Linked DNA regions of Astyanax mexicanus. The main gene of each other region encodes a partner of the protein of the gene in region 2 in a complex. Links are inferred from orthologs where the notes say so. Each region holds a gene or a part of one and is shown on either strand. Other genes may lie near its edges. The genes, in order: cnot11, cnot10, cnot8 and cnot7.

Region 1 (6,880 bases), on a different chromosome or scaffold from region 2:
TACTGTACCCACCCAGAGAGAGAGCAAGGACAACTGTGCTCTCTCAGGACTCCAGCAGCTGATGGCAAGCTGCATGACCGGGATTTGAACCAGTTCTAAAAACTAAGCATGCCCTTACGTTTTAGGTCAGAATATGAACATGCAGTAGTGTGCAGGGATACTGCTGCATTACCTGCGTTTGCTGTGCTGCAGACAGAGGGCTTTTAAAAGCTTTGGCCATGATGCGCTTGATCTCCACGCCCGTGCCGTTCCGCACACACATGGATCGGTCCCACTGCACGCGGTGCTCCGGCTCGCACGGGTTCAGCCACGCCAGCTCGTCCTCGCACACCAGCAGCGGAGGAGCCGGCCGGATGAACTCGGGACGAAAGTGACCTGAGAGGAAGAGCAGAGACACGTCTTACAGAATTCATCCTTCAGAATGCATTATTTTATTATTCATAAAATAAAACTGCCTCCAACTTAAATTAAACTACTTTACAGGATCCTGCGATACTCACTCTCCAGTGGAGGGCGTGGTCCAGTGACCAGAGACTCTATAATCTGATTGGCCACAGAGCTGTCAAAGCCAGAGTTGGAGGAGTCGGGGTCAGGGTCGCTGAGCAGGCTGGGAAAACTGGCTTTACTCTGAGTAGGAAGCTCAGACTGGCGCTCTGGAACACACAACATTTTTGTTGAATTTTATACAACAGTTATTAGAATAAAAAGACTTCTAATATACTGTTTATACATAACAATTTTTGACCAACATACACTACGTTGGTGCACTACTTAAATCTTTTCAAGATTCTGGCAGTTTTATGGTACATCACAGTATTTTTTATTCTAATTTATATTTTTGCTTGACTTTTATATAGGTGACTTATTCTACTGTCAGGAGTATGTATAATACAAAACAATAAGGCTTTAATTACTACAGGGTTTATAACCATGTATTTTTACCAGCGAGAGCGAGCTGCAGGCCGCTAATGTCGATGGCCTGAGGTGCCGTGCCCACGTCCATGCAGGAAACCTGCCGCGGCGTCTTCTTAAACAGTTCCCGCGGAGGAGCGAGCATCAGCTGAGACAGGAAAAACTTCTCCGGCAGTGTGATGGGTGGGAGGAAACCTGAAAAAAATAATTATATTTAACATTGTGTAAATGACTTACTACAGTGTTTCCCAAAACAAATCACGCAGGTTAGCTTTTACAGCTCCAGCTGCACAAAGTACTCCATACTCTTTAATCAATACTTCATTTATCAATAGTATTCACACCTAAAACTGCAGGTTAATGAGGTAGTTAACAAATATTAGTTTGTTGGTTTATCCTGTGATCACATACATGGGCTGTATCTCTCTATACTGTGTTACAGTGTGTTCTCAAACAGTAAATCAGAAAGTGCAGCTCCTTAAACTCAGTATAAATCTGAATCCTACCTGACAGAGGTTTCTCCTGCTCCTCACCAGAAACAGATGGATTAAGAAGATGAGCAAAGACCGCAGCAAACGGGTTCGCAGCGAGTGGCTCGGTGCGGTACATCTCCCACAGCAGGTACAGAGCAGTGAGACGCTGAGGAGAACTGGGCAGCAGATCTGGCTGCTGGAGCAGCATCACCAGAACCGAGCCGACCCGGAAGTGCTCAGCCTTCCCGAAGCAGTGATGGAAGGCATTAGAGAGGCTCTCGAAGGTGTTTCCACACGCCTCCTCCGAGATGATGCCCAGCAGGTTGGACAGCTCTTTGGGGGCGAGGGTCATGATTTCACTCTGGCAAATCGATCACCACTGTTACAATAAAACAAGAAATAAAACAATAAAATTATTGATGTTATAATTATTGCTATAATTTTAAGTAAAAAAAAAGATAAAAAATAATAATAAACAAAGGAATAATCAAATTATTAACAAATTATCATCATTATAACTGATCCATCTGTTTGAAAGTTGTTTTTAGTTTTTAAGTTTATGTATTGTTGGGCTTAATACAAAATATACATCTCAGAAGTGACAGTTTATATACTATTGGAATAAACCTGAATTAATATACAGTCAGTGGTTATTTCTGTTACAGAGGTGGACCAATGTAGTGTTAGTTTAGGAGTCTAGCCCAAGGACTCTTATTGGTGTAGAGCAGCATTCTGAAGTCACCCAGACCAGATGGTAGCTTACTGGCAGTGGGTTGTGTTATCCACTGCACCACACCAACCACGGTGTTCGGTTATATAAGCAAAGTGTAACTTGATTAGTGTTAGGTTAATACTTTTATTTTCTAACCATTATTTAGCCATTATCCTATTATAGATAAAAACTAATGCAGTTAGGGTTAAATAACATTTTATCAAATCAATAATCGATTAATCGGAAAATAATCGGCAATGATTAATCTATAATCGAAATAATTGTTAGTCCTATCGGAATAGTTAACTAGTTCACCAGTCACACATCTACCGGTATCCTGTCAGAGAGAACTGAAGGGGTTAAACTATGTTAGTTTTTGGTGCTTAACTTAAATTATGCCCACAGTAATCAGCTATTTAGCGTCATTATATAACTAAATTACAGACAGAATATTAATCTAACGATAGATAACCATAATCTGCCCAATACAGGAAACATCACTGTTTAAGATTTAGATAAGAAATATACGTTACCCATATGTGTGCATTTTATAAACTCATGCATTTGTATTAAAATTAAACACATTAAACTAACAATTAATAAATTATCCCTGTTTTACGGAAAATAAAATTAAATCGATTTTGAGACCGAATCTGTATGAAATCGCTAATCTAACCCTCCCTGAATAACTTACCTTAAACCCGGGGTTCATTAAGACCTGGAGCTTTCTGAGATCTCTCTGATCTTCATTTATAAAACTAAAACAGGAATAAACATCAGAAATAAAGATAAATCTCTCAAAAAGAGTAAAAAACTGTCCATAAACAACAAAATAACTCCCAACACTTCCAAACCCGGGGACGGGTCTTCTTCTCTCTCCGGGTCACCGCGCGACACAGACCGGCTGGAGCTGCAGTACCGCCGCCTACTGACCCGGAGTCTGAACCAAGACATAAATATATATATACGTTTAAACTTAAATGAGCTGATATATTTATTTACTGATTTTATTTTCATTTTTATAGTGTAGAGGGATTCATATTTAGTTTTTTTATTAATCAACTGTTAATCCATTAGTGTGATTTGTTCTTTAAATGGACATATGGAATATTATATTGGCTAAAACAACTGTATAATAAACAAGCAATTAATTCGACGTTAAAAACTCATTATCTTAAACAATCAGTCAAACTATATTATATTGTAATATATTTATATATATATACTCTTTATTTATCCTCATGGGGAAATTCTGGAAAAGTTATGTCAGAAGTGGGATTTGAACCCACGCCTCCATTCGGAGACCAGAATCCTCTGATTACAGGAAGGTCTGAACCTTGAGTCTGGCGCCTTAGACCGCTCGGCCATCCTGACACTGATGGGACACGTTGATTACCTGAGAACTAATGTTACCTGTCAAGGTGTCAGGCTATTGATCAAACTATTGAAGGTTATTTTCAAAGAACTGTGAGTTTAAAAATATATATTTGTGTTACATTAATTTATATCAGCTATGTGTATTAATATCGGTGATGTTTATTAATGAATTATTATTAATTATTGTAATAATGTATGTGATGTTTATTTTTATTTAATTATTGTTTTTCTATTATTTTAGATTGAAAAGTATTGAAAATAATACATTCACACCTGTACATTTAATAGTTAAATAAAAAAAACAATGAAACTCCCGGCAGATTAGACGTTGTGTCGTAGGGCATTATGGGACTTGTAGTCTGGATTGTTTTAGTCAACTATTATTCAGCCCTTAAACACTAAATACAAATACAAACTTTGAATCTTCGGGTTCAGAATATTCATCCAGTTTAATGTTATAATGTATTATTATATTTTTATCGATATTATGAAGATTAAAGTGTTTAAAATGTGATTATAGCTGTGGAGCGGTGACCCGGATGTAGAGTTTGTATTACCCAGAAGCCCGTTCTCCTTCCTTTCCGAGGCTCGTCCTGAACAGTGAGTACCTCAGAGCCGAGCTCTGCTCTTAATCCAGCTCCATCCGCGCAGATTAAACACTTAATCTGCCGCAAATTCATATATTACAGTTCTAACAAAGCTAAAGTATCACTACAGTTATATTTGGGGCGGTTTTGGGTGGGAAAAAGTTGTGTTTGCGCCGATAATGTGAAGGATAGTTGTGTAGCCGGTTAGCTGTTAGCTAGTGGCGAGTGAACGCTGCGGACGGAGATAAACGTGTTGTTTTGGGTTTATATTGGAGAAAAGCTGTCTTAATTAAAATTCAGTTTAAATGTAGAATTCGCGTTAAGTTAGTGAGTTAACTCACTCTGGTTAAAGGATGCGTTATTGGCTGTGAAATGAGTAAAAAGTGACGGGTCCGTGTGAGGGACAGTTCTCCAAAAATGTGGTTTGTTCCTTTTCCTTATCCGCAGTATTTATATTCAGAGTTTAAAATTTGCTGCTTTAATTTAGGTAACTGTCGGAACAACAGATAGTTAACAAGATAGTTAACAAGAACTAAAAGTAAGAGTGAGTCACATATATCCTAAGAGATGCTAGTATTGCATGATTTAACAGTGTAGAAATGGAACATAAAAAAATGCTTTACAAATTACAGCACAGTGGTTCCTGATTAGGATAGTGTTGTGCATTCTGATCTGCTTTGAGTCTAAAAGTAAACATTTCATGCATTTGGTGGCTCACATCTGTACTAACTTTAACATTTGGGGGTCCATTGATGGTCCATTATTGATGCTTTGTAGATGCTTAACCTAATAATGCACATAACCCTAATCCAATATCCTAAGTTTTTGGCAAATGTTAGCAGTGAGTATTAAAAGTTCAGTTGCATTTAACAGATATTCAGTTTAATATGTTTAGTTTAATGTCAGTTGAGCAAGTATTAATGTGAAATCTTTAATGGACACAACAAGTAAAATGATAACTTTTGTTCAATAACAATATAAAGTGCAGCACTTAGTGAAGAGACCAAGCAGGTCTTGAATAAGTACTAAGAAACTAAAGTTTTTCCATTTTTAGTGATCCTTTCTTATTTTTTATAGTTAAGTATAATTGGGGTTAGTAGTGCATTTCTTTAGTCTTCGTTTAAGTGAATATTGCATATCTGAAGAGCATCCTGATAATGCAGCTAAACAAGTTCATTAAGTCAATGGGTCATAAAAAGAAGCTGCGTTATTAAACATAGTGGGAGAATATTGAGTATAATAAGGTGGCTGATGTACAAGCTGAACCAGTGCACGTTATTTAATATTTATAAATGATTCATGTGTTACAGATGGCACCACTAAAGAAAGGAGGAGAGAAAAAGAAGGGGCGTTCTGCCATCAACGAGGTGGTGACCAGGGAGTACACCATCAACGTCCACAAACGCATTCATGGCATGTGAGTAACGTGACGTAATGTCCTGTTTAATGGGTTTTAGACGCTGTCAGTAGGCAGTAAGAGGTGTTTGAGTTTGTAAGTGATTTAAAGGCATTAGATGAAGATGAATCTGTAGCATCATACAGTTCTGTACGTGCTGCACATGTTCTAAAAGAACTGTTTTTTTTTTCACCACAGCTCTTTCAAGAAGAGGGCACCTCGTGCTATTAAAGAAATCAGAAAGTTCGCCATGAAGGAGATGGGCACCCCAGACGTCCGCATCGACACACGTCTGAACAAGGCAGTTTGGGCCAAAGGAGTCAGGTAACCACCTCCTATTAAATCATCAAAATTGGGATAGAGATCAGGGGTGGGGAAAACAGCTGTGTGTTAACTGTTATAGATTGTGTTCAGCGTGTTGCTCTACCAGTGCCAAAAGAGGTTGAAAGTGTTGAACTGAGTCCAGTTTTTGTTTGGTAAATTGGTGACGACGTCAGGACAGTTCCTTTAACTCATGAAGAAGCCTCCAGAGAAACCAGAATGAAAACAGGGAATCTGTCCTCTGGTTGGAAGCTGTAGAACAACAAATAAATGGAGATGCACGATGTGGGAATTTTGGTCAATGCTGTATGATGTTACATGTGTTTTTATGCTGATATGCATATTTATAAATTATAAATTTATACATATTCCTGTAGTCTGTCACAAAAAAAAACACCTTTCTTAAATGTAATCAGCCCAAATTCTGGGAAATTCCAGAATGGTGATAAATAAAACACTGGTAGGAGTGTGGTGTAATTTTGTTAATGCTATTCTCAGTATAATTCAGTGATTTTGTTTGTCCTTTCAGGAACGTCCCGTACCGCATGCGCGTGCGTCTCTCCAGGAAACGTAATGAAGACGAAGATTCTCCCAACAAACTGTACACCCTCGTCACATACGTTCCAGTCACCACGTACAAAGGTGAGATTCAGCTGTGGAGAACATCTCAGACTGCGTTAACTCCAGCCTGTGTAGATTTTAAAGCAAAGTGTGCACCAAAAGTTGAGGAGTCGTTAATTAAATCACTTTTATTGAAGAGGATTAAGTTATCTAGATAAAAGTAGAAATCCTGCTGTAAGGCAGTTTTTACTGGTGAGGTTTGATGCATGTTTGATTTCAGCAGGAGATAACGCCATGCTTTTTGTGGAGGGATTTAGGATTTATTTTTGTTAAATCTCCAGAACTCACTAATGCAGATGTTTTTTTCAGCTGTTTGTTTATTCAGACTGTGTGGATATAGCATTGTGTGGAAAAGACACAAGTCTCAGGCTCTTAAGATTAGTACTGTTGATAAATAGTAAAATTAGATTAGCTGTAGTGTGCAACCTGCTGGACATTTTAGATTGCATTAAAGCTAAAACCACATTTTTTCCCTCTGTAA
Region 2 (7,473 bases):
TGCATGATTTCATGACATTTCCCACCACGCAGCAGCAGTTCCACAAGAAATGGACTTTAGACTGGAGGATGAACAATATACTTTTACACATAAAGTATTTAGATATAACATCAAGCTTTACGAAAATTCACTTATTAAAACTGCCTCAACTATTTTATTAGATCAGGTTGCTCTTACTGATTATGTCTAATGAAAAGACACAAATCTATGAGATGCAGATTCCGCACATCTTAAATGCCACAATTCTTATTGTCTAACCAGAGTATAACGAAGATAAAGGAGCCTGTATCACCAAATTACTCTGTAACGCTGATCCACATTCTCCTCCTCCTGGTTTATCAAATCACTCAACTGCTCCTACACTTTAGGCAATCAGTGATTTACACAGACAGAAGCTGTGGCAGTTGAGTGATGGTGTTCGTCTCCAAGCAGCTGTGTATTTAACAGAACACTCTCTGCTAAAGGCCAGGGATCAGCTCTATAACTTAATTTGTTTCTGCTCTTTCTCAGTGCCCTCTGAGCCCAATAAAAGCCTTTCAATGACTCCATAACGACTTCCTCGTCTACACAAGTAACAAAGCCTAATTGTCTTGATTGTATATTACAAACAGTAAAGACACAGCCCCCCACCACAACCCTCATGCCTACATTTAAACAGTTAAGAGCTAGTCTGGCATTACACAACACAGTGCTATTGAATTTATATGTGTTTAGATCAAACATAAAACTTAAAATGTCAGGTCTATTAAAATGTAATCTTCCTTGGCCTAAAAGGTATATAAGGATCATTGAGGACAAGAACAGCGCACTGTTCCAACATATGCAAGTGTTTAAACATAAATTAATTGACACTAGCTGAACTTTTCAGGTGTGAGCCACGTTCAACTTGAGCAGCCTTGTGACTCCATGAAAGAGGAAATCAGAAAAAACACTGGACTTAAGAATACAAAAAAAATAATAATAATAAATAAAAACTTAAATCATAAGACCAAAACAGTGTTAGAAAATAAGAACATTACAAATGATGTTTATTCTCTATTATATCACCCTTGTAGCATGGAACAGGTACTGTCTGAGAATGTATTGGCATTGTATTAATTCTAATGTGTATCATGTTAACAATTCATGCTTCCTAAGTATGGACACTGAGTAAAAGAAATAATGTAGTAAGCCCTATTTTTTCACTACAGAGACAATCATTAAAACATGTAGTTTAAATATTTTAATGATTGACCTGAATATTCAGGTTATTTGTACTATAGAATTCAAACAGATTGCATAAATGGACTTGCCATGTCTGAGGAGGATATAGAACTACTTTTTAAATGTATAATAAAGAACCATCTTCAAAAGGTTTTATTAGTGTTTATTAGTGTTCTGCTTAAATCCCCACCTCACATGTTGCTACCTTATAAAATCCTGAAAGAAATAAATGTGCTTGCTGCTCTTAATCACACTGGAAATGTTTATTGCACCAGCAGAGGCCTTTCATGCATCATATTATCAAAGCGAATAAACAAGCCAAGTAATCATCTGTTTGGTCTTTTGGTAGTTTAGAACCTTTTGGTCTGTCTGAATTCTGCCACGGCCAGGCTAACTTTTCTAAAAATGACGGAGGATAATGAGTCATATTGTCGGAATGCTCCAATTTTCTGCAGGCCTGGAGAGATGGATCTGTCATAGTTACGAAGCCTCAGAATAACCAGACACGCTCCCAGGCAATCAATCATCCCTCTTCCTCTCAAACTTCTCTCTCTCTTTTTCGCTCCCTCCTGGTGTCAATTAGTGAGACATTTTCAAGCTCTCTAGGTACTAGGCTCAATTAGACTAATTGAAGTCAAAGAGGAAAATAAACACTGCGGTAGAGAGTGTCTCTCGCAGGAGGACGTGGCAGCAGTGTTTTTTTACACTGAGAGACACACACTTTTCTTTTAACACAGGGCTCCTGTGGAGTGACACATACCTGATGCTTGTAGATGGCTGCCCTTTGTGCCATCAGTACCTGTGTTAAAGGTGGTGTTCATTGTATTTTATGTTTACATACTTACTGGCTGATTTGTAGGCACCTAAACTTTACATTACTATCAATTAATATCCATTGCTGTTAAAACTTTACAATGGTTTAAATTATTAAATATTACTAAATCTAAATTCATTCATTGGAAAATATATATTATTCAGACTGTATAGACATGTCTTCAATTACACTGACAAAATTATCCTTGTAATGCTTTTGTAGAGTAACCTATGTTGTTCTATGTTTGTGACAGAAATATGAAACTTGAAATAGTATCCTGACATAGTACTTGACCTAATTTTGACATAGTATCCTAAATCAAATTTGTTTTATCCCTGTTTTGATATATACGAGCATAAATCCAGATTTAACAAAATACGACCGCCAGCTAATTAAGAAGTATGAAACACAAAAACAACATTGTTTTTTTCCCCTTTAGATGGTCTAAACATGCTGCACACAAACTCTCTAAACTCTTCTCAGTACAGCGCTGGCATCTGGCCAGAGTGGGTATTAAACTCCCAAATCTAAAGGTGGGCATTATTTTACGAAGATATGTGGTCTTGCCAGAGGTGGAAAAAGTACTGAAAAATTGTAATTAAGTAAAAGTACTGTTACTTTGCTAAAATTCTACTCAAGTAAAAGTAAAAGTACCCATCTAAAAATCTACTTGAGTAAAAGTAAACAGTACTCAATTTAAAATGTACTTTGAGTAAAAGTTACATAGTTACCTATTTTAAAAACTACTTTAAAATTACAAACAGCTCAGGGCTTGAATTAAACCACTCTGTTGGGTCATCTGCCTATCTTGGTGGAGACAGAACCAAGATATGAGCCAGATGTTAAAAAAATCCAGAGTTTAACCTAAATGTATAGGACCATGCTCGCCTCAATAGATGTATTTTCCTATATACAGGATATGAACTATTTCTTAAGCCATTTGAGAAAACAGAATGCCTACACAAATCAGTACACTTATGCTTGGTTTATGTAATATTTTTGTATCTAACTGTTCTTCACCTGTCTAGAAACAGGTTTACTACAGTCTGTAATTATAGAATTATATAAATGCTCCTATTTGATAAGAATAGCTGACAAAATGGAAAATAAGGTGTATTTAAAGTTTTCTTTAAAAAAAACTGCCTAATGGTTAACTAAGTACATTTATTGCAGGCTCCACATCTCTTCTTTAAATTACATAACTATATAATAAAATATTCACATTCAGACAAAAACTATAAGCTAGTTAGCTAGTTATATCCAGTGTACTAGGTTAGCATTGTTTTGCAGAGTGACAGTGCTAGACTTGTTAGCTATAATGTTTATTAGGGTTTATGAATGTATAAATTGAATTATGATTTACATTTAGGGTAAAATTGTGGCCATTTAAGTTAAATGTTCTAGCTAAGGCTCTGACTTGCTAGCTTAACAGGTAACATTTAACCTAAGGTTAGCTAACTACTATCTACCAATCGTGGAACTTAGTTTAGTGAATGAAAGCTATTACAGTTACGTTTTATTTTGACTTGGGTATAATAAATTAGCTTAGCTTAAAAGTCACACTCTTGATATAGGCCATTATCCTAAAGTCGTAAAGTCAAATGATTTGAACAAATGAGCGTGCAGGCAATTTTTAAAACAGGTGGTCAAAGAGCATCATGAGGAGATGATGTAGGCAAAAAAATCAAGTTTGCCAAAAATAGAGAATTAAGTCTGGGCAGAGATAGTGAGGAAACATTTACAAAGCATATTTTTCTACATTTTGTATTCTATTAAAAAATATCAAGAACTATCAGTGTGGTAGAAAAATAAACTGTTGATGGGGACAAAAGTTGTGAGTCTGATAAATCACAGTAATGATATACACATTATTTTTAATGTAATATGTAATATGTATTGTATGTAAATTCCACTAGAAGTATGATAGGAAATAAACTTAAAGATAATCTAGATGCAGTCTTGCAAATAATGATATCCAGTCTTTGCAAAATCTTATCCTGTGACTAAAAGGTCTGACTAGTCTTTAGATGTGAGAGGGTGTCAGAATTTAGTCTGTTAAAAGTCTTTTGACTAACTACTTGACTAACTACTTCTAACCTCATTTCCTTCTTCTCCTCCTCTACTCCTATATCCCATTATTTCCCTTTAATCTCCTTTAGGCCCTGTCTAAAGTTGTTTTTACCTTTAACTTCTATTACTTTTGTACTTCACTATTGTCTGCCAAATGTAATGTAATGCTTTGAGAGTCTTTTCAAAGTCGTGTAGTGTATGGACAGCAAAACTCCTACCAGGAAGAGAAGGACCGTCAGGCTGTTTGTGTTTGGGGGTAAACTCGGATCTGTCGACATCTAGAGTTCACTCTTAGAGTCTTCTTCCATCCTATCATTCTCTCCAAATGATCACTCAGTGTTTCTCCTCCTCCACACCGGCGGATGGCGGACTGCAGCAGCTTGTGCTCTAATTCTCATTACAAAAATCCTGGATGAAGCGAAAGCAGAGCAGTAGCAGCGGCTACGCACTGATGAACCCTGTGCTGGATCTATATATAAGTTAGATAAACGGAGAGGATCTGTGTGTGAGAGTCTGATCACTGGAATTAACACGCGTTAATTCATACCAGAGAATCACTGGCAGGACATGGCTGAGAGCGGCTCAGGTAAGCTGGGTTTATTTATCAGCACCCAGGGAAAGGGTAACTTATCTGTCTACCGCAGTTAGCTAACTTAGCTAGACTGCTCGCTGAATATTTACCTGTCCCTGTCAGACTAGTAGATCAGCGCTGTTGTGAAATTTAACCACCAGTTTCTCTTCTGTATTCAGTTAAAGTCAGCAGCAGCACAATCAGCTGTGAACAGTATAAACACTGCAGCACACAGAGAGGGCAGCTAGCAAGGCTAGGCTAAGCTAAGCCAACATGCTAACTAGCTAGCTAACCTAAATAGCTAGGTACCATAGCAACCTTGCACAGTAGCTAAATTAACAGTTTCAGTCCTTTAGCAGTGGACGAGAAGTAGAATGTAAAGTTTCATATGTTTATTCCGCTATAATATAACGATTTGTGACCGAACTAGTTAGCTTAGCTAAGTATTTGAGAGTATCGTCAGTATCGCTAGTTAGCTAACCCCCTAACCTGACTCTCACTCATTTTGCCCTTCACAAAATCGTTAAAAGCGCTTTATTTTAAGTATCTGCATTAAAATGAACTAAATTATTAAATCATTTACTTGTGAAATGAATATAAGCTAAATATGTAAATGTGTAGAGATTTAATCGAATTTAATCGAGGCTAAGTCTTGCATTCCTATGCGGGTTTTCCCGTCCACCTTAAATTCTCCTGCAGAGCAGAGGTTTCGCCTGTAGGTGGCGCTGATTTCACCATTAATTAAAGTGAAATCAGTCTAAAACTGATTTATTAATTTATTAAAAAATATATTATTATCGTTTTAATCAGCTATCTAAATACTAAATATGTAGTATTATATGAACATATAATTTTTGTTTTACACTTTTTAGTCTTAGTTTAGGTTATTACGGTTTTGCAAAATGTATAATCACATAAGAAAAAAAAAAGATAAAAAAGAAAGAAAAATAGAATAAACACAAGTCCTGCATTTAAAGAAATCACATATAGACTGAAAAGGTATAGGTTGAAGCTTTAGCTTAATTTGCCTACCCTATTTAATTAACAAATACACATATTTTTTTACAGTGTAGAGACCACGCTTTACACCACTGACAAACATTTATTTCATAAAATCTTCTTTTTTTTTATATCTGTCCTTCAATTCAATTCAGTTCAATTTTATTTATATAGCGCTTTTTACAACAAAGGTTGTCACAAAGCCGCTTTACAGGAAAAACAGGTCCACGCCTCTTATGAGCAGCACCACAGAGATGCCAATTTTATGGTGACACAGTGGCAAGGAAAAACTCCTGTCCTTGCTCTCCATCCTTTAAACATAAGTATTCCACCAAGTTCAAACTTTTTATAGATATAATGGTCAGTTTTTAAGGTACAGAAATTGTGCAAAATGTTAGTGCTGTATGTCTGAGCAATAAGCAAATGATTTATAATTTATTAAAATAATATTTTTGTATTTAAATAATACTTTGGGTAAGGTGATGAAGCTACTACTACAACTACTTCTAGTGCTACTACTGCTAATAATAACATTATTATTAGTATTAGTGGTGGTACTTGTCTTGAGATACTGCATACAAGGTATATGGTATTTTCTCTATGCAGCAGTAAATCTTAAATTTAAACATGTATTGATGTATCAAAAAGCCTATGGTGAACTCGACAGTGCAGAGCTAGAAGCAGCAAACGACACAACAAACCTGTACAAGGAGAACATGTTTAATCATTAGCTCTTAAGCATTTAGAGGTTTTAGTTCTGCTGTGTCTGTTTAAGTCAAACATTCCAATTAACTGCTTTTAAATTTTATTCTTTTTCAAGACCAAGTTGGTGACATGAAACATGACAACGCTTCTTCCCCTGGAATTTCAGACCAAGAGAAGGAGATGGCCACGAATGCTTTTGAAGCATTTACGGTATTGAACTTTTACATTTATATTTAACACTCATTCCTGCTTAAAAATACAGCTCAAAAACACCTGGTAATCCAGAAAAAAACATACTGCATGCCACTTAAGAGCTAGTAAACAAGCTAGCCTACCAGCATAGGATATGCTGTTTTTTTTTTCTTTCTTTCCCCTCAGCTGGTCTTGAGGTGGATTTTTATGTTTGATATTTTTAGCAGGGATTCCTTACATATGTTGTGAAGTATTACCTGTACTTTGTTCATTACTCTTTACTGTATTGCTCTTGTCCCCTTAGGCCGGCAACTACGATGATTCCTTAAAACAACTCGAAAGTCTTCAGGAACTGAACAAGGAGGACTATAAGATAGCCCTGAACAAAGCTGTTGCTGAGTTCTACAAAAGTGGGCAAGCAACCACTGGCACGTTGAAGCAGACGTTAATGACAATAAAAAATCAGGTGAGGAAATACTTTTACATTTTCAATTAAAAATGTTCAAAAACAGGGCCTTGTTTTTCTTAAGCCTGTTTTCTGATGGTTTTCTATCTTTTTATTTGTAGGTTCATACTGCGGTGGAAGACATTGATGGTTTAGATGATGTAGAAAACAGCATCCTCTACTACAATCAAGCCATCATTCACTACCACATGCGGCAGTACTCTGAAGCCATATCTATTGGGGAAAAGCTCTACCAGTTCCTGGAACCGTTTGGTATGTTTCTGAATTTTGATTTAATTTCTCAAACAAAAAACTAACATTATTTGTTCTAGGAAACTTTGTTCCTGTTTGTGTGTATTAGTGTCCAGTAATTCATATTAAGAGTATAAGAATACAGTTGAAAAAGAAAGAAGTCAAAAGAAAACTAAGTATACAGAATAAAACACTTGTACATTCCTGATAGCAATGTTTCAC
Region 3 (7,411 bases), on a different chromosome or scaffold from region 2:
AGAGCTGGAGTTGAGAGCTCGATGCTTCAGAGCTCTCAGAGCCTTTCACTCGCGTTCCCCTGCACACTACACTTTAATAATGCATAGTGAGCTTGTTACGTAACTCTGTGGATCTGTGTGTTTATCCTTTCCGACTCGAGTCCCTCTGCTGCAAACTGAATTCTCACACTGAATTAATTCAGATCATTTCAGCTCAGTCCAGTCCAGTAGTAGTCATTCAGTTGTGCTTATTGGAGTGATTGGATAGGTATATGTATAGCCCTTAAAAAAATTGAGAGATCACTTCTTTTTCTGAATCAGTTTCTCTGATTTTGCTATTTATAGGTATATATTTGAGTAAAAATGAACATTGTTGCTTTATTCTATAAACTACGGACAACATTTCTCCCACATTCCTAATAAAAATATTGTCATTTAGAGCATTTATATGCAGAAAATGGGAAATGGCTGAAATAACCAAGATGATGCAGAGCTTTCAGACCTCAAATAATGCTAAGAAAACAAGTTCATAAAAATCAATATTTGGTGGAATAACCCTGGTTTTTGATCAAAATTTAATGCAGCTTGGAATGTTCTCCTCCACCAGTCTTACACACTGCTTTTGGATAACTTTATGCCACTCCTGTTAACAAATTTAAGCAGTTCTGCTTGGTTTGATGGCTGTGAGCATCCATCTTCCTGTTGATTATATTCCAGAGGTTTTTAATTTGGTAAAATCGAAGAAACTCAAAAGTTTTAGGTGGTCTCTTATTTTTTTTTTCCAGAGCTGTATATACCCAACTGGCAATAATAAGTAGGGATAGTCTGGAGGACAACTTGTATAAAGCACTACTCAGTTAATTTGTGTACATGTAACTACACTACATGGAATTTAGGCTCCCCCTGCTGGTCCATCCTTAGCATTTACACTAACTGATGCCCCTTTTTTCTTTCTATATTTTTTTTGGCTGTTGCCAGCAATAGGTTCCTCCTGTCTCCTTCCAGTTCTGAATTCCAAACAACCACTAATGCCTTTGTAATAATAATAATAATAATAATACTCATAATAAGCACTCGACATGCGGAATACTTTTTAAAACTACAGCCACACTCCTATATACTCCCTATTTGTACTTGGAAACTTCATGACTCAGCACCAGCCAGCTTATTTAGAAATTCCAACAAGACAAATCCTAAAGCCTTCAGTTTAAGTCCCAGCATTGCACACACGTGCATGTGGCGCCTGGTGGTAATATTCTCCGCCCAGGGACGGGTGCGTGTGTTCAGAACCCGTTTCTGCTCTCCTTGGGTGACCTTTTTCTTGCAGAAAGAACTGGACACGTGCCTTTGACCCCTGTGAACTCCAACTAAATTAGTTTCCCCACTATACTGTTGTTTCCTTTGCCTTGCACCTTGAGATATAAAAGAAAAGACAAAGACAAAACCAGCAAATACTGTCCCAGTCAGCACCTTTCCATTCAGAACAAGGCCCATTGGAAAGAATTGAGTTGAGTCTGAAAGCTTTACATTTAACCAAATATCTCTAATGCCTCTAGTTTGAGCTTTTTTATTTAAAAAAACAAACAAACTAATAAATAATGAGCACCAGCATTCTCAATCATCTCCCAGCTCAGGCTTATGAGAGTTCAGAGAGTAAGGCCCAGACTTCTGGGAAGTTTTTCTTTTCTTTTTTTTCTAAATCCATTCTCGCTTGGCATTCTGTTTTGCCCCTTTTTTTCACACAAGCTGCGTTCCAAATTCAAGGCTGTGTTCCGTGGTGGGGTGCATTTTTTTTTTAGCCACTATACGTCATAGAAGGCTCCTTTGTATACAGCTAAGATATGCACCTGACATTCAGGATGATTTGAAGGACACAACTGATGTATCCTTCATTATAGCCAACAGTCACCCACAAATCAATGCATACATTCAGCAAAAATTGCAAAAATGGTGGGAAATATAGACTCTTGAGCAGAGTTAGCTTTAAATTCAGAAAGTAATTCTTTAGAAAACACTCCTACTGAGGATCTACCCTACTTTGACTGCAGCCTATAGTTTGGAACGCAGCTACAGATTGTAGATTAGACTAAGTTACTGATTGCTCTAGGCTCATTTGTGTAGGCTTCTCCAGATCCACTGGTTCAGTACACGAAGTTACTACCACTGCACACCTGGCCCAGGGCCTTTAAGCTACGGTACAAACGAAAGCATGAAACTGAAGCCTTTTGGAAAAATCTTAATCCTTTACGTATTTTTGTTTTGTGGAATGTCCGTCTGTTTGAAGAGTTTGGAGACGAATGTGAGGATAGAAATGTTTCCCTTTAAACAACCTGCACTGTTGTTAGCAGCTGAATGTGAATTGTTACATGGAAACACTACACTCTAGTTTTCTGTAGTGAACTGGAAGAAGAACAGCACACGGTTAAAATAAATAAAGTGGCAGCCTGTGGAGGATGAGCGACCCTTCCGATCGACTAGGTGCTCTTTTTACTCTCTGATCCAAGGCTCTGACACGTCGCTTATCTAACACTCTGTATGTGTTTTTATGTTCTGTTGACTGTGCGGTCATTGTAATCATGTGCAAATCATGTAGGACTCGCTTTAGATAACCATGAGATTAAACAAGAAAAAAAAAAGAGAAACAAATCACCATCAGTAACTGATGCTGGTAGTGATGACTGATTTGTCGTTCATGTAGACTTACAATAGGATTCTTGTTTTCAGAGCGTATTTTTGATTCTTTTTAAATCGGACGTTTCAGTGCTGATGGAAGAAGAACTTGGTCTTTCCACAGAGGCGGATTGGAGAAAATACAGCATGTATTTATTGCACTTTTGTGATTTGGGTGTGCTGTTTTTCTTTTCTTGTGAGACTTACGAAAGCTGTGAATTTTATCATCAACACTGTACTGTCAACGAAAATTGTAAATATGTCACCAGCACAAGAATATGTTTTGTAGTTTCACAACAAATATAAAAAAAAGTTCTTTTCTTCTAATCCCCAGTCTGTCTGTCTTTTTTTTCCTTGAGTGCGAGTTTCCTGAGTTTACATCCAGATTAAGCATCTTAATAGAAGTATACATACACTAAATATAGTATTGTCCCATGGATGTAAAGAATACTGCTCCTGCACTAAATGTGGATATGAATCAGTTGTCTATTTCCACAGACATTTCTATCCAGATGCCACCAGTCACAATAATTATCCCCTATTGCATTGTCCACTGTGGGTGGTAATGCCTTCTATGATATTTTCCCAGCACACCTGCAACATTGCAAAACTTCAGAAATGCAATAAACTGTCATCGATTATCAGGCCCTGTATGTTGCCTTGCCATGAGCACACTGACCAGTGTTTGTCCCTCACAATATAACACCTCACAGACAGAAACAACACAGAAATAACATTTTATGATCAGTTTACATACTGCTCTCTTAAGTCTTTTGTCCGTGCATGTCAGCGTATAAAAATAAATGACATCTCATTAATTGAATTCATGATTTTTTTAATTCAGTCCGGTCCCATTGCCACAGATGTAGCAAACCTGGGTATTTGAGCCACCACTGCATATTCATCCATAATAATAACTATGGATTTAGAATACTATCTTACAAAAGGATAAATTATGTTTAATTCATACATCAGGAGTTATAGTAGCTAAGTAGCTAAAAAAAAATAACCCAATGTCTAGATAAGACCTGTTTAAAAGAAGAGCTAAGGAGCATGCCTAATGGACAGGCCTTAACTTTGGTCTTGTGTTATCAGTGTAACCTGAGATATATTTTTCAATAAACAACATGTCTCCAGGTTTACATAATTTGTCCAAAAAAAGCTTTGGGAAAAAATAAGAGACCATTTAAAAAGTTTATTTGATTTTACCAAATTGAAAACCATAATCAAGAGGAAGATGGGCATCACAAGTCATCAAACCAATCTGAACTGCTTGAATTTTTGCAACAGGAGTGGCATAAAGTTATGTAAAAGCAGTGTGTAAAACTGGTGGAGAACATGCCAAGACGCATGAAAACTGTGAACCAGGGTTATTCGACCAAATATTGATTTCTGAACTCAAAACTTTATGAATATAATTATTATTATTATTTTATTAATATTGTATTCTTTTTCTAATTGTGGATATTTTTTGCTTTGTTATTAATCTGAAGCCCAAATACTAAATGTGACAAAATAATAGTAGCTAAATTATAAAACCAATTTTAATCATATGGTTGTATTAGGAATAAAAAGCAATAATTATAAATTAAAAAAGTTATTTGTATTTGAAAAGTCAAGTGTATTTTTTTATATTTATATATATTTGTATTAATTTATTTAAGCGTATTTTCATTTTTATATTAATATTTGTTTGTGTTTATTTATTTAGACGTATTTTAATTGTTATATTTATATATGTTTTATTATTTATTTATTTATTTAAATGTATTTTGTGTGTTTCCGTGCTCTTAAGGCTTCCTGCTCCCGCAGCCCGTGTTCAGTGCTGGAGCGCTAGTAGCTGCTTTATCCGCCGAGCCTCAGCGCAGCAGAACTCCTGCCAGGTAAGCGAGCCGGACAGCGGGCTTCACACCTGCTCTACCTGCGGTTAACTTCAGGTTCCTGTTTTCTGGAGTTTATATTATTATCTGTTCGCGGTATTGTTTAGTGTGTGTTTGTGTATTGAAGCGTATCTAGGCAGCTAGTTAGCTTAGCTCACTTGTTTGCTAACGCTAGCTTAGCTACAGCAAACTTAGGCAGTCTGTGGTGTGAAATAGTATTAGTGGGCTAGAAGCTAAGCTAAGCTAATCAGAGGTGCGTTAGCTTGTTGGCTAGAGGGGGTAGAGTGTTTCATAACAGTAGGTTAGTTAGGTTAGCTTAGCTCCTTGTATTTGCCAGTATCTTAGCTTTTATCCTGTAGCCATATAATTAAAATTATATTTAAATACGTAGTTACTCTTTGTTCCTACCTGGCTAGAGCTACAGTACAAGCTAGCTAGGTAGCTAACTACGTAGCTTGACTAGCTAGCTAGGTTAGCTAGCTTCGTGAGCTATGTGAGCTGCCTCTTCAGTGTGTTGAACTATATTGTTTTTTTTTGTGGGTAAAACGTATTAATTTCTCAGCACCGTGTTGTTCACACAGTTTATGCACTTGCATAAAGGCAAAGCCAGCTTTCTCTAACCTACTTTCACACTTTTAAGTAGTGGTTTTAGCGTTAGGTAGCTAGATTATTTTAACAAGCTGTATTAGCTAACAGGGCATCTATCTAGCTTTGCTATGTTGTTTGAGCTTGGAGCTGAACTCAGGTGCGTTTCTTTCCAGAGTTCCAGTTTGCTTCTACCTGCCTGTGGCCGCTTTGGACTCGCCTGGGTGCTTGGTTGCTTCCTCAGCCTGCAACAATGCCAGCCGCACTTGCAGATACTAGTCAAATTATCTGCGAGGTCTGGGCCAGCAACGTGGAAGAGGAGATGAGGAAGATACGACAGATCATTCAAAATTACAACTACATCGCTATGGTATGTAATTTTTTCTCTGTGTGTTTTTTTTTTTAATAAATTCTGTATTTTGTTGTAAATCACACAGGCCTACTCAGTGTGGGCTCCATTACACTATAATGCTGTTCCTGTTTTGGTTGAAAGTGGTCATTGTAGCTTTTAAAAATCTTCTGGTTACAACAGGTTGTAAGTTTGAGTTTGTCCATACAGTAGACGACTTTGAAAAGACTTTTAACAGACTAAAGTCTGACCCCTCTCACATCTAAAGATAACTCTCACACTGTTTACTCAAAAACTGAGATTTTACAAGATCTGGGGATCACTATCTGCAAGACTGCAACTAGATTTTTTCTGAGATCATTTCCCATCAGGCTTCTGGTGGAGTTCACATACAATACCTATTACATATTAAGTTATAGATAATGTGTGTATCAATACTGTGGTTTATCAGAGACTCACAACTTTGTTTTAGATAGAATTAATGCGGTAAAGAACGTAATTCTTGCAAAATGTTTATTTATTGAACTTGTTTGTATCAAAAATAACACTGCACGATAAGATGAAGTAGTGCAAAATAAAACAATTTAAAATACAGTGTGCAGTTTTAAAGGGTTTAAAATACTGTACATATTAAAGTAAGATATATGTTTGTCGCTTTGATAAATGAAAGTCGCTTTGGACAAAAGCGGCTGCCAAATGTAATGTAGTGTAATGTAATGTAATGTTTGTAAGTATATTATAAAAAATATGTGTGTGTATGTATGTATGTGTGTGTGTGTCTGTGTGTGTGTTTGTGTGTGTGTTTGTGTGTGTGTGTGTTTGTGTGTGTGTCTGTGTGTGTGTGTGTGTGTGTGTGTGTGTGTGTGTGTGTGTGTGTGTGTGTGTATATATGTGTATATGTATGTATGTATAAAAATGTACGTAAAATATTCTTGACTTGCGGCTTCCCCTAGCTCTCCTGTTGGTTGTTGACATTGTTCACGTCACTATTTGCGTGAGCCAAGTCTAAGATAATATTAAACACGGTTGATTTTATCTGAGCACCAGAATGCAAAAAAGACTGACTAAAACTTTCAACTCTAACCACCTTACACTGAACGATTGAGATGACGAAATCGCAACTCGACTCTAGCAAAACTCTAATGATTTTATCACGACTCTGGGAATTTGTATGCGACAGTGAAATGAGGTCGACATAAGTTAGAGTTGCATAAAAGAATGGACGTTCATCCTAAAACCTGGTTTAATTTCTCTCTTCTTCACCAGGACACAGAGTTTCCCGGAGTGGTGGTCCGACCCATCGGAGAATTCCGCAGCACAGTGGACTACCAGTATCAGCTCCTGCGGTGTAATGTGGATCTGCTGAAAATCATTCAGCTTGGTCTAACTTTCATGAATGAAGATGGCGACTATCCACCCGGAACAACAACTTGGCAGTTCAACTTTAAATTCAATTTAACGTAAGTGTTGGTTATCCTTGTTTTGAGGTGACTTAGTTCAGGTCAATACAGGGCCTGTATTGTAAAGTCCTATTTAGAGAGCTTGGAGGGGAGTAAGCCTGGGATGCCAGATTTCACTGCTGAATCCTTACTGATTATGTCTGGGCTCCATGTTTGAGTTAAATGTTGCTAATCAGATCATAAACAGCCACAGCAGCCTAGTTATTAGGTGGAGGAATTTAAAGTTTGGATAAACCATTACACTAATTACCTCTCTCTGTTTTTTTAAATAGAGAAGACATGTACTCTCAGGACTCAATAGATCTTCTGCAGAACTCTGGTCTTCAGTTTAAGAAGCATGAGGAAGAGGGAATCGACACGCTGTACTTTGCAGAGCTCCTGATGACTTCAGGCTTAGTTCTGTGTGAAAATGTCAAGTGGCTCTCCTTTCATAGGTGACGAACATGAAGGAATTCTTCTTCTCAAATCTTTTATTTTTTTGCTAGTAT
Region 4 (6,949 bases), on a different chromosome or scaffold from region 2:
AACTATTACTAGACAAAACAAAAGTGTTCATCCTTCTCAAACACCTGATATAAGAACCAGATATACTACCCAAGTGGTTTGGGACGAGTTGGAGCACAGAGGGAAGTAAAAAGCAGTTATCAAGAGCTCAGCACCTCTAGCAACTCCTTTAAGACAGTTGGAGAACCATTCAAGGCTCTACCTCATGAAGCTGACTGAGAGAATAATGCCAAGAGTGGGGAAAGCATGCATCAAAGCAAAAAGTGTTACTTTGAAGAATCTAAAGTATAAACCATATTTCAGTTTGTTTTACACTTTTTCTGTTCACATCTTTACCTCAATATTATCATGATATTGGTAGGGTATTTTCACAATACCAATACTCTTGGCAATATGACAAGACATTGAATTAAAGTGTAGTATATTCACACAAGAAATACTGCACTTACGTGAGGTTAAATTTGAAGTTAAACTGCCATGTTGAAGTTCCTGGGGGATACTCCCCTTGTTCATTCATAAAGGTAAGGCCAAGCTGGATAATCTTTAACAAATCAACGTTACACCGCAGTAACTGGTACTGATAGTCTGCATTGCTTCTAAACTCTCCAATCGGCCTCGCAACTACACCTGGAAACTCTGTGTCCTACAAACACAGAAAATTAACAAATCAGATTAACTGAAACACTGCAGATTTTAAGTAAATGGTATATGGCGAAACAAAACAAGGCTCACCATTGCAATGTAACTGTATTTTCGGATGACCTGCCGAATCCTCTTCAGCTCCTCATCCAGGTTACTAGCCCACACCTCACATATTCTTTGGCTATGATCCACAGTGGCTGCGGGCATAGTGCCACTTTCAAATGGAAGGCATCAAAAAATGAAACAAATGCTCCCTTGGGGACAATTTCGTAGAATTTTGGGTCTAATTCTTTATTTACACCTGTGCAAAAAAGGAGGACATATATTAGACTTTTAGAAAATGAGCAAAAGTGTGACACTGAATGCTAACTTACAATATGCTAGATACAACCTTCAGTCAAAAGAAATAGTGAGCGGAATACTCTATCTGTCCATTCACATTTATAGCACAGAATGCGACACAACAAATGACCTGGGTGCCCTTTAGTGCCCTTAGGTTAACTAACTAGTTGGTAAGTTAGTTAGCTAACCATGTAGTCAATTAACTAGCTAGTCATTTAGGGTTATAAACTAGTTAACGAGTTAGTTAGTTAACTGTATAGTCAACTAACTACCTAGTCATTTAGGTTAACTAACTAGTTAATTAGCTAGTTATGTAGTTAGTAAGTCTGTTAGTTAGGTAACTAACTTGCAGCTGAATTTATCTACTTCATACCATAGCAAGAAAGCAGTTATTTTTCTTTGCTAAATAACTAGCTAGTAAATTAACCTAACTAGCTAGCACGTAAGCCATACCATGACCTCATCTGAACCTAGTACCTGGCTAATGAATCTAGTACCTCATTTAAACAGCTAGCTAATAATTGGATCTAAACACAAAGCTTAGTTACCCAAAGTTCCCATATTGGTGCATCCCAAATTTTTACTGGGATTATGTGATTATATCAAGATAAATATTGTGTATTGAAAAAAGGGCTTATTTGTAAATACAGTGACATAACTAAAGTAATGTGTTTATCAAATCGCCTAGCCCTACTTTACTGCAACTTAAATAAGAATTAAGTTTACTAGGTTGGTTAGCCAAGTATGGTATGGCTTACCTGCTAGGTAGTTTAGTAACCAACTAGTTAATTAACTAGCTGACAATTTAAGTTAACCTTGCAGCTGAATCTATCTACCTCGGACCAACCTAAAATCAGATCATTATGGTCTGTGTTGTCTAACCAGAAAGCAGTTACTTTTGTTTGCTAACTAACACAAAACAAGGCTATCTAATCTAGCCATCTAACATACACATAAGTTACTTAAACAGCTAACTTATATAGGTTTAAACAGCTAGCTAATAATAAAAGCCTAGCTACTAAAAATGAGTTAGGTTAATAGTCAAATAGTTAGATTAACTAACTAGTTAGTCATTTAACAAACGAAAAACTAACCAGTTAAATAGTTATCTAGCTAGTTAACTAACTAGTTAGCTAACTTACCTTGTAGCTTAATTTATCTACCTCATATCAACCTAAACCAGATTATTATGACCACAGAACAAAGCTACCAAAAAGCTAGTGAGCTAACAAACACATATTTAAACAGCTAGTTAACACAAAGATAAGCTACCGCCCCCAAACAAACCAGGTGACTAACTGTTACCTAAAGGCAGCTAACCTAGCTAAGCTAACAGCCACAGGCTAGGCTAGGCTAGCTGCCACACCAAACTACACCCACAAACAAACAGCCGACAGAACCTGACACCTGCCTGCCAGTCAGAAAGCTGTGCAGCAGGACAGCCTGGTGTTGGTATATTATATCTGTCACGTTAGACACCGGCTTGCTAAGCTAAACTAAGCTAACGAGGCTCCCTCCTGCATGCTAGCGAATCCTAATAGGAGCTGTTAGCCCCACACAGCAGCTAGCTAACTAGCTGTAGCCCCTTAACTTTGTGCTGCAGGTCTTCTCCAGCTCTCCCCCTCTCTCTCTCTCTCTCTCTCTCTCTCTCTCTCTCTCTCTCTCTCTCTCTCTCTCTCTCTCTCTCTCTCTCTCTCTCTCTCAGTCACTTACTTACCTCCCTCTCTCCCTCTCTCTTTCTCTCTCTCCTCTATTATAGTACACTCATATGCACTGGCTGCTTCAGCAGCACGCGGCTGTCCCGCTCACACTCTCACCAACACTGGGGTCTCAGCTCCACCAAACCCGCCACACAGTTTATTAATCTAACCCCGACATCAGCAGCCAGCTGCCGCCCCTCGGGCTCCATTACAACCCGCCGCCGCCGCCGCCGCGCACCGCGTGACGACACCGGGATACGAGCGCCACTGACCTTGGAGCGTCACGGAGTCTGGAGTCAGTCCAGCAGCGGCGCGGCTTCAAACAGGGGTATAAAACGGTGCAGCAGCTTTAGGATGGAAAAATATATATATAATAATAATGCGTGGCCACGTCTTATTAAAGCGTTAGAACGAGATCCTATTGCGTGGCTACAACCCTAGTTAATTAAGGGAGTGCCTGGAGAGGATATTGCCAGGACTTAATTATTCTGTTCCCACTCTGTAAGAAGCCATGGCCACCTCTTAGGGCCACACATTTTATTTTATTTTTTTTAATATATATATATTTTTTACATAATGTCACATCACATCAGTGTGGAAGCCCATTTGTTTAGGTGGCGGGAATGGGCTTCCATACATCAGGGGCTGCGAAAAAGGTACGGAGCCCCTAAGGTGACATCATGTTTATAATGTTTGATCCTAAGTCATTATTTTGAATTATTAAGTCATTATTTTCAGATATTAAGTCTTTATTTTAACATTCTATGTTTTTATTTTAAAATATTAAGTCACAATTAAGAGATACTACGTGTTTATATGAAAATATGCTAGTATCTCAAAGTAATGACTTAGTTTCTCAAAATAAAAAGGTAGCAGCTCATAATTACAACGTAGTATTTAAACATAATGACATAGTATCTCAAAATAATGACTTTACTACAGACAAAGGATTTCTAAATTGACATTTTCAAAGCTCAGTTAATAAGAGCTGTGAGCTGTTAACCAATCAATTGTCTGGTAAATTTTTTTTTAAAAATATGCTTTTGCAATATATATATATTTATATGTATATTTGTTAATTTGTTTTTCTTAAAGGCCCTGCCAGTTTAAATGGCAAAAATACAGGGAAAATATGGGGGTGTTCTAAAACTTTTGACTGGTAGTGTATATGTTTGCAGTTTCCCAATATATATATAATAGAAATAAACAAATGCCTAACCAAAGAGGGTGAGGTCACATGTAAACTTTATTTATTTTTATTTATTGTTTAGGTACAATTGCACTAGTAATGTAAGTGTGAGAACAGAGAGTTACCTCTCAGCATCCACAGGGAAATGTATATAATGCTTACACTGCATTTTTTCATGCATATTTTCAATTACTGTATATGAGAGAATTAATGCCCAACATCATCTGAATAAACCAGTGTGAAGATAAGTTCCAGCAGTTTCCACAATGACCATCTAGTGTGCTTTATAATATGCTGCTCATATATTGTCTTTATTATTTATTATTCTTTTGTTCTCAGTAATACTTTTATAGTGTGTGTTCAGACTGTAGGTTGTTATGGTGTGAAGTGAAGCATCTTTGGCCTATGATCATAGATTATGAGCTGTGAGAAAAAAAAAAAAAAAACTGATGAGAGAGGTCAACAGAGAATGCTGGTTCAAGATGGTTCAAGACGACAGAAAGGCTACCATAACCCTGGCTACCATAATCCTGTATTCACACTGGCAAAGAACAAGTCGCTCACGCTGCCCCAAGTTGGTCTCTTTTGGGTGTGTTTGAGGCAGCTTGTGTTGTTGTGTGTGGGTGTTAACAGGTGTTAGTATAGTTTGTTAACATGCTGGCTAATCTAGCAAGCTACGTATCAACTGACCAACCAACCAGAGAAACCAACAGTATCTGCTAATTTCTCTCTCGCTTTATTTTATTTTTCTTCAGACTGTCCCTGTAAATGTGCAGATTTGCATCATAACAAGGGGAAATGAGAAACAACTATGATTTTCTTTCCTGTTCAGAAAAACATTGTAAAAAAATAAGAATGAAATGCTGGTCAGAACCAAATGTTCAGATAGAAGAGCATGTATAGACCTATCTGGACGGGATTCGCTTCTCAGGGGACATCTGTGAAAAAATATTTCACACTTATACTCAACTAGTTTATTAAATGAGAGGTGACGAAACTCAGAGATGTGCATCCGGACGGGACTAAAATTACCGGAGTTCAGCAAAAACAGGTAATTCTGACTGTAATTGTATCAGAGGACGTCTGAGAAAACCACATACAGTCATTCCGGGGGGAAAAAATCACAGAGAAAAAAATCAAAAGAGAAAATTACCCCAGGACCCCCTGAAAAACGAATCCCGTCTGGATAGGGCTTATGAAAAAAATTGTCAGGCTATTGTGAATATCGCTTTATCTTGTTGAAATTAATTTGCATACGGAAAATTTTAACTCAATTTGTTGTTCGCCACTTTGTCAATTAATGCACCCATTCGATATTACTTTGCCAGTTATTGAGTTATTAAGAATAACCCAGATAACCATTCTGTAAAACGAAAAATATTTCCACTTTTGTCAGCCAAGAACAGAAAGCTGAGGCTGCAGTGAGCACAGATTCACCAACACAGCACAGTTGCAGACTGACATAATTGTACTTGTGCTGTTCTTTCTAACTAGGGAATGTTCACTTAAAGAACCATTGAAACTCTTTGGCTCATTGGGAATGTCCTTTGAAAGACTGGGAGGTTGTGACACGTGTTTAGTATTATGGGAACAGAGACATCAGTCCAAACTTTTGTGAGGTCTTGTCCTCACAACTGAAACCCCTTACTCAATGCTGTTGTCCATTTTCCTTTGTCCTCACAGCTCTTTTTTCCTTTTCCTTTATGTAAAAATTGCATGAATTCTGATCTTGGAAATAATAATATCAGATTCAGTGTGTTTTTTCTGTTTACACTGCCACACATATCACACATCTGTGTCACACATCACTAAAATGCATGTTGCTACGCTGTGACATGCGGGTTTACAACTGCAAATCATTTCATGCACATACAAAATGAAATAATGTCATAAATATTGTAATAAATAAATCAACACTTCCCTTTGTTACACCGGCAACAATAAATACATTTGATTATGCATGTTTATGCATTTGAAATGGAGCATGTAGTATGTAGCATGATTGCACAGGCCCCAATGGGAATGCTATGGCTTTCATTTATTATAGATCACGTTTTTAGACAGTATTAAAAGCAGCTTCATCTAAATCAGCGTCCTTTACACTGTCTTCACTCGGAAATGAATCCCCGCCGCTGGAGGAGTGACCGCTGAAGTCGGCCACTCCGGACTCCTGATCGCTGTTGTCGGGGTCTGAGGTTTTTGGAGTGACTCCAAACAGGCCGAGCCCCGTGCTCTCAGTCTCCTTCTGCTGGAGGGACCAATCTTTAGGACTGCTCCCTAAAATTCCTTCGTTGTAATCCTGAGGCGTGTTGGCCAGGCTTATGTGTGCTGGCTGAGCCCAGAGAGCCTGGCTCTGATTAACTGTATGCTTATTCACACACACACCGTTCACCTGCTCTTTACCCAGGGCAGCGAGTTTCTGCAACAAGACACACAATTCAGTCGTTTAACAAAAAGCTTCAAATCACTGCAACCTAAGAAAAAATACTGAATTCCCTTTAGGGGTGGACGATAAGGCCATAACATGATATTACAATATTTTAGTGTATTTTTGTGAGAACAATTTTCTTGGTATGATATGGTATGGCAAAATTCTGAAAAATGTATAAGTATTTTTAAGAATATATTACCATAACAAAATATATGTTTGGTCATGTCCTTAGAAATACTGAGTGGTTGCGACACAAGCCTTTTATTATAATGGCAACAGAGACAGCAGTCCAAATATGTGTGGGGTCTGTTACCTCTGCACTGAAACCCTCACTGCTGTTGTCCAATTATTATTGTAAAGAATATACTACCATAACTAAATACAGCTCTGTAAAAACTTAAAACCTCTGGAATATAATCAAGAGGAAGATGGATGATCACAAGCCATCAAACCAAACTGAACTGCTTGAATTTTTACACCAGGAGTAAAGGCATAAAGTTATCCAAAAGCAGTGTGTAAGACTGGTGGAGGAGAACATGCCAAGATGCATAATAACTATGATTAAAAACCAGGGTTATTCCACCAAATACTGATTTCTGAACTCTTAATAAAACGTAATGAATATAAATATAAAGGTCTGAAAGCTCTGCTTTTTTTTGTTATTTC

Evidence for each region.
Region 1: cnot10 (region 2) and cnot11 share a complex: the UniProt entries of both Homo sapiens proteins name them as parts of the CCR4-NOT complex. The link is inferred for Astyanax mexicanus from reciprocal best matches to the Homo sapiens genes CNOT10 and CNOT11.
Region 3: cnot10 (region 2) and cnot8 share a complex: the UniProt entries of both Homo sapiens proteins name them as parts of the CCR4-NOT complex. The link is inferred for Astyanax mexicanus from reciprocal best matches to the Homo sapiens genes CNOT10 and CNOT8.
Region 4: cnot10 (region 2) and cnot7 share a complex: the UniProt entries of both Homo sapiens proteins name them as parts of the CCR4-NOT complex. The link is inferred for Astyanax mexicanus from reciprocal best matches to the Homo sapiens genes CNOT10 and CNOT7.

What each region holds. Positions count from the first base shown.
Region 1 is NC_064418.1:327,386-334,265, forward strand, and holds the start of cnot11 (CCR4-NOT transcription complex subunit 11), read right to left. Parts: upstream 3,002-6,880; 5' UTR 2,792-3,001; intron 1,765-2,791; 5' UTR 1,738-1,764; coding exon 1,419-1,737; intron 1,108-1,418; coding exon 943-1,107; intron 654-942; coding exon 501-653; intron 376-500; coding exon 173-375; intron 1-172. Other genes in the region: rpl31 (60S ribosomal protein L31), read left to right, coding at 5,372-5,478, 5,656-5,781, 6,308-6,420. UniProt on the Homo sapiens protein: Component of the CCR4-NOT complex which is one of the major cellular mRNA deadenylases and is linked to various cellular processes including bulk mRNA degradation, miRNA-mediated repression, translational repression during translational initiation and general transcription regulation.
Region 2 is NC_064413.1:37,975,332-37,982,804, reverse strand, and holds the start of cnot10 (CCR4-NOT transcription complex subunit 10), read left to right. Parts: upstream 1-4,463; 5' UTR 4,464-4,654; coding exon 4,655-4,673; intron 4,674-6,477; coding exon 6,478-6,572; intron 6,573-6,858; coding exon 6,859-7,020; intron 7,021-7,121; coding exon 7,122-7,272; intron 7,273-7,473. UniProt on the Homo sapiens protein: Component of the CCR4-NOT complex which is one of the major cellular mRNA deadenylases and is linked to various cellular processes including bulk mRNA degradation, miRNA-mediated repression, translational repression during translational initiation and general transcription regulation.
Region 3 is NC_064424.1:17,742,760-17,750,170, forward strand, and holds the start of cnot8 (CCR4-NOT transcription complex subunit 8), read left to right. Parts: upstream 1-4,401; 5' UTR 4,402-4,532; intron 4,533-5,290; 5' UTR 5,291-5,367; coding exon 5,368-5,484; intron 5,485-6,729; coding exon 6,730-6,923; intron 6,924-7,195; coding exon 7,196-7,357; intron 7,358-7,411. UniProt on the Homo sapiens protein: Has 3'-5' poly(A) exoribonuclease activity for synthetic poly(A) RNA substrate. Its function seems to be partially redundant with that of CNOT7.
Region 4 is NC_064417.1:45,486,976-45,493,924, reverse strand, and holds the start of cnot7 (CCR4-NOT transcription complex subunit 7), read right to left. Parts: upstream 3,013-6,949; 5' UTR 2,936-3,012; intron 2,905-2,935; exon of another isoform or gene 2,681-2,904; intron 2,368-2,680; exon of another isoform or gene 2,106-2,367; intron 2,079-2,105; exon of another isoform or gene 923-2,078; 5' UTR 829-922; coding exon 712-828; intron 623-711; coding exon 429-622; intron 1-428. Other genes in the region: mtmr7a (myotubularin-related protein 7a), read right to left, coding at 5,909-6,271. UniProt on the Homo sapiens protein: Has 3'-5' poly(A) exoribonuclease activity for synthetic poly(A) RNA substrate. Its function seems to be partially redundant with that of CNOT8.